Linked DNA regions of Kluyveromyces lactis. The protein of the gene in region 1 interacts with the protein of each later gene in a pairwise test. Links are inferred from orthologs where the notes say so. Each region holds a gene or a part of one and is shown on either strand. Other genes may lie near its edges.

The links.
Region 2: the proteins of TAH18 (region 1) and DRE2 interact in binary tests that used the Saccharomyces cerevisiae proteins (3 or more experiments, as listed by UniProt). The link is inferred for Kluyveromyces lactis from reciprocal best matches to the Saccharomyces cerevisiae genes TAH18 and DRE2.

The regions. Positions count from the first base shown.
Region 1 is NC_006038.1:1,061,500-1,065,051, forward strand, and holds TAH18 (NAPDH-dependent diflavin reductase), read right to left. Parts: upstream 2,376-3,552; coding exon 501-2,375; downstream 1-500. Other genes in the region: autophagy protein ATG11, read left to right, coding at 1-499; MSF1 (phenylalanine--tRNA ligase), read right to left, coding at 2,734-3,552. UniProt on the Saccharomyces cerevisiae protein: NADPH-dependent reductase which is a central component of the cytosolic iron-sulfur (Fe-S) protein assembly (CIA) machinery.
Region 2 is NC_006042.1:1,504,121-1,506,816, reverse strand, and holds DRE2 (electron carrier DRE2), read left to right. Parts: upstream 1-1,164; coding exon 1,165-2,196; downstream 2,197-2,696. Other genes in the region: phosphopantothenoylcysteine decarboxylase complex subunit VHS3, read left to right, coding at 1-625; TMC1 (Tmc1p), read left to right, coding at 2,606-2,696. UniProt on the Saccharomyces cerevisiae protein: Component of the cytosolic iron-sulfur (Fe-S) protein assembly (CIA) machinery required for the maturation of extramitochondrial Fe-S proteins.

The sequences.
Region 1 (3,552 bases):
TGCTCTTTTTTTACCAATCAACGATCAGGAATTGCTATTAAATTCTTCAATATCGTCGCTAAATTCTTCATTTTCATCCATTGATTTAAACTCATCTACACAGTCTGTTATGCAACGTCCAAATGTTGTCAAGTCTGATATTGCAGCTAGCATTCTTAACGGAAGCTCTGCTTCTATCACAGAAAATATTCCATTAAGTAAAGCGAACAGGAATCCTGCACTCAACGCTAATGGCAGACCGGATACATTCAATGTTAACACCCAAGATTCGGCCAAGAAGCATGTTGTATGGGCAATTTTCACTGCGACAAATACTGATATCAAATACGTTCTTAGAAACTCAACGTCTAATTACGAATTATTGAAAGATAGGGAATGGGCAATGGGTAGAATCTCGGCCTTGGAAAAGCATGTGGTTGGAGATGATTCAAAGAACCCCTTTAAGTTTCCAAGAAATACCGTGTGGTATGAAGTTGACGCTTTTTTCAATCTTGACTGAACTACCATGTCTCTTGCATATACCTGTCAGTTCTTTCCATTTCTTTTAGATAATGCTCGGCTTCTTCTGCGTTTTCGAAGTTTCCATGTTTTTTCAGGATCTCAACTATAGTCAACCTAACCTGAACTGGCATTTTACCGGAGGATCCACAAATATATACTATGGCAGATTTTTTCAAAATTAGGTCTGCTATTAGACTAGATTGATTCCACAACTGATCTTGAACATACTTAGCATGAGGAGAATTTATGGGATCCCGCGAAAAACAAGTGAATAAATTAATTTTACCTTCTTTCTTCCACATAGATAACGTATCTTCATATAAAAAGTCCTTATCCTTCATTCTGTTACCAAAAAATAAGTACTGATCCTTGAATAAATTAGACTCGATCAAGCACTTCATTGGTGCGAGACCTACCCCCGGAGAAGTCATGATGATAGGTTTGCCAATAATATCTTCATGAAGTAAATGATTATTTTGAAGTTTATAACGAACTGTATCGTTTTCGGTTAATGTAAGTAGGTAGTTCGTGCATAGTCCTTTCCGTACCTTTCTTAACAAAGTCTTATAACGAACAATAGCAATAGTTAGTTCAACATTAGGATCAGATGGTGCACTTGAGATGGAATAAAATCTGGGCTTTATCATGGGTAGATAATCTAATGCGAACTCCCATGGAAGTTTTAAGAATTCAAAATCCTGTATAACCTCTAATACTGATCTTCTTGGTCTATTGCAATAATCATACAAGTCCTGTAGGTCTTGTCCATACCCGAACTGTCTTAGTTTATCCCTCTGTTGTTCTAATAGCTCTTGATCGGTTGGTCTATCTTCGTGAGCATTTGCAAAAGTCCAAGTTTTCATGAAGAAGCTCTGCCTAGGTATACTGACGATATCAAAATGATATTTTAACAAGGTTCTTAGAGTAAGTGGTTTCACAACACCACCATCTCTGAACCGATCACAATTTTCCAGGTCTGTTATTGTAAGAAGTTCATCAGCGACCTTCTTCCAATGAGGTTGAGCTTCGAGGAATAATTCAACGTCATTGTCTGAATTTTCGGGATATAAAGAAACTGTATCGCCTGGATGATAGGCTTCATGATCCTCGGTTTCAAACACAAATTGTCGAACGTCCTGAAAATGATCTTTAGCAGTTATTTGGTTGTTTTTCTTAACGGTTCCATGTCTTATTGTCTCATCTCCAACAAATTGAATCTTAGAATCAGGTAGCTGATCATTTGTCGATCCATTAACAGTGGATATTTCTAATATATTGCTCGGTTTCAAGTAAACATCTTCGGCTAGGCCTACTCTGGGCATCATTTTGCCATCGTGCTTTCTGTTGGGGTACTTCTCTAACATGTAGGCGATGATTCTTTTCTCAAATTCATAGTAGACGGATTCAACTCCATTTCCAGTATCCTTATTACTCCCAGCAAGTCCCAACTCATCAGCTTCTAAGCGTGGAAAAATCTCACTAGCGCCAAGTTGATTGACAATACGTTCATGAAGCTTTCTGATACCAAAGTTGAATCTTGGATACGAGGAATCACCCAACCCAAGCATGGCAACGTTAACATGATCTAAAAGATCCGCAGGAAGTGTAGATTTCTTCAAAAACTGCCAGAGAGTCCCCTGAGCCCGTCCATTACAGTTCTCTCTTGCGTTACGCGGTAGTTCTCCTTGTCCAGTCGTAGAGCAGATGATAAACAGGTACTTGCACTGCAGAACGCTTTTCGGATGGTAATCACCGATCTTAATCAATGTATGTGAGAAATGCAGTCTCTTTAACTTATGAGAAAGAATATGCGCAAAATCTTGCGCATTTCCTGTCTCAGAACCATACAATATGACAATCTTCTTGTTCTGCATGGTTTCAGTAGTCCGAAATACTTCTTAGCAGCTTTAAATGTGTCTTGAATCGTTTACAGTATATAATCTTTGATGTTCATCACATGTAATATGTAAGCTATCTCAGTATTTTTCACCTTGAAATCTTGCTGTTAAGAGAGATATGCGATAATAACGATGAACAGACGATGAATTAATGACAGTGTCGTTGTATTTCTTCTTAGATAGTGTTCAAAAAGAACTGTATGGTTACTAATTACCCACAGATCTTATTGATCACTAACCGTTACATATTGAAATGAATTTTTTTTATACTATTAACATGAAATCGCATCACTAGTAAATACGACGAATTTATATATAATATTTTGTATCTTGGTTATCTCAGTTCAACGCCGTATAGTTTCACCAGGGTATCACGAACTTTATCCTGCAGCTCATTGACTTCCTCGTTGGTGACGTTTCTGTCCATTGATTGATAGTTAATACGGTAACATAATGACTTTCTACCGGTTTTGGGGTGTGTGAATGAATCAATTAATTTGACACATTCAACCAAATCTCCTGCTACGTTTCTAACGATTTCCATTAGATCATTCTCATGGATAATGTCAAAGTTCTTATCTGTTGGAAGCCAGAAGGCCACGTCCCTGATGGTACCTGGATATTTAGAGTACGGTTTGAATTTGTTGATTGTGCCCTCTTTGAATTGGGAATGGAACCTTTCGTCAAGGGTCCAGAATAATCTGATATCAGGGATCTCGAATAATAGCATTGCAATGCGGTCAAGGCCTAATCCAAAAGCCCAACCGATGTTTTGATTTTGTTCATATCCAGCTTTTAATAAAACGTCTTCACGGATAAGACCGCAACCGCAGAGCTCAAGCCAATTGTTTTGCCAGAACACTTCAATTTCCCATGATGGTGCAGTCCATGGGAAATAAGCTTGAATCCATCTAACCTTCAACTCTTCTCCCTTCACGTTACCCATACTTGCCAACTTTCTCTTGAAGACTTCCAATACAACAAGCTCCAAAGATCTTTTCAAATGGCGAGAACATAAATCGACTTCTTCCATCGTCATGTATTCCTGCTTTGGATTACCTTCCAAGGAAACGTTATCTTCCACGACAAGTTTCACTGGGTCGTCTGCCAAAGTTTTCTCCAATCTCTCGAGATCTTCTTTAATCTTTAATAA
Region 2 (2,696 bases), on another chromosome or scaffold:
CGCGTGGAAGCAAAGAACGGATCCCGTATTACACATTGAACTCCGTCGTTGGGCAGACATTCTCGTAGTGGCTCCTCTTACTGCTAACACCTTATCTAAGATTGCCTTGGGCCTATGTGATAATTTGTTGACAAGTGTAATAAGAGCTTGGAATCCACTGTTCCCAATATTTTTGGCACCATCCATGGTAAGCAACAGTTATAACTCTTCCATCACGAAGAGACACCTTAACATGATTAAAGAAGAAATGCCTTGGATTACCGTATTCAAACCATCAGAGAAAGTTGTTGGGATATACGGTGATATAGGACTTGGTGGAATGATGGATGGTAATGAGATCGTAGACAAGGTGGTTATGAAGTTAGGAGGGTATCCAGAAGACGAAAACCAAGAGGAAGGCGAAGAAGATGAAGACGAAGATGACGACGATGAAGAAGATCGATCTGATAAGAAGAACTTGGATGATGATGATGACGACGATGACGATGATGATGATGATGATGATGACGATGACGATGACGACGACGACGACGATGACGAAGAGGAAGATGATGAAGTGAATGAAATCGATGAAGTCAAGAGTCTACACGAAACCGTAACATCGCCACCATCCACCGACGCATAACCCGCCATAGTCATCACAACACCAACCTTCCGATTCTAATCACAACGGTACACAAAAGCTATACATAAATGCATACATAACTATCACCCCATTGTAACATTCTAATACCAGACATACAGGTCCTTCCGGTACCGTCCATCGTATTAACCGGTTCCGGCAACCCAGCAGTTGTCTTACTAATCTAACTTTTGGCCCGTAAGTCACGTGCCATGATATACTTTCTTTTTTTTTTTTTTCTCTTGATTACTCAGGAAATCCGAAGCTTGACATCTGGAATATATTTGGAAGAACTTAATCATCTTTCTATGAGTAAGAAGTTGGAAAGATGAGTAACTGTTTTCTTATGTTCATGATAAAGAGCGGACAGCAGGACAAGTTAAGATTTTCTTTATATGGGTGCTGAACTAATATCAAGAGAATACACTACTTAGTCTTATTTCACAGTACTGTTTAATACCGGTTTATTATTGAGCTGTTCACTGTTGCTCATTTCCCCTTATACTAACTGGAAGCAGAGATAAAAGAAGGTCAAAGAAAGTATGACTGTGAGTAGAGACTCGTTGGTTTTGATCCATCCAGCTGTAACGCAACAGCCGGAGCTATTGGAAACTATTGAGAAGGGTTCAATCTTGTCTGAGACTACTATAGTTGCTCAGTATTTGATTAACAAACTAAATGATGGTACTATTTCTCCAGATGATGAGAAGTACGATGTAATATACTATGTGACTCCTGAAAAGCCAGAAGCCATTCAGTTTCCACCAAAACTAATACCTGTGCTTCACAAGACGTTGAAACCTTCAGGTAGACTATATGGATTAAGTGATACTTTGAAAGTGGATGCTTTAATTAATGGGTTTGAAATTGTTAGTAATAATGGGTCAGAGTACTATTGGGTGAAAGAATCTAGAGAGAAAAAGGCTCCAGTGAGCATATCATTAAAGGGAAACATGAAGAATGGAGCCAGTGCACCTGTTGCTTTACCAAGTTTCAAGAAGCTGAATAAAACACAACCTATTGGATCGTCACCCTCGGCAGGACTTGCGGTTAGTTTGAAGAAATTACCTACATTTAAGAAACTGACTAAAAAGGTATCCGCAATCAAGCTTACTGACTCGGATCTAGAGGACGATGACGATGATCTCGAAAGTGACGATTCTGCAAACAACTCTAAAACCAAGTTCTTTGATGATTTCGATGATCCAGAGACCGGAGACTCAATTGATGAAGACGATTTAATAGCAGAAACCGAAGAGGATACAATCACAATGATCCAGTGCGGTAAATCCAAGCAAAGAAGAAGAAAAGCCTGTAAGGATTGTTCATGTGGACTTAAAGAGATGGAGGAACAAGAAATAGAGTCAAGAAGAGCTAAGCAACAACAAGTCATTAAATTCTCGGAAGAAGAATTGACAGAAATCGATTTCACTATAGAGGGTAAAAAAGTAGGAGGTTGTGGTTCATGTGCTCTAGGAGATGCCTTCAGATGTTCCGGATGTCCATACCTAGGCCTCCCCGCATTCAAACCAGGCCAATCTATTAACTTGAACAGTATATCCGACGATTTGTGAAGGAGCCGAACTCTCATGAAACATTAAAATGGAGAACTAAAAACACTACATAGTCTGTATTGTATATACAACCCACATACCCCAAATTCAACCATTTCGCATCTTTAGATCACAGAATATTCCCTTGTGCAGTACTGATGCACTCCTAGGTCAAGATGACACATGAGACTTGCCCATTTGCTATAATGAGCAAGTCTCGAAATGCTTTTTTTCCGTGATTACTATGGCATTCAGGTATTATATAAAGAAAAGGAAAAAAGGAAAAAGGAAATAGACAGTTTCAACATAGATAAAGGCTACAGGTCGTCTTTTTTGATAAAGGTATTTTAGTCATAACAGAGGCAATAAGACCAAAACCTCCGTAATCAACTGTTTGGTTGGGTCTACTAAGGATATATACAATCTAAAGATGCCAGAAACGATAAACAATAACTTTACTGGTGAAAACAGCGAAATGAGAGCAGAACATGCAGACGAAAGTGGTGTGGCAAATGGCGGCA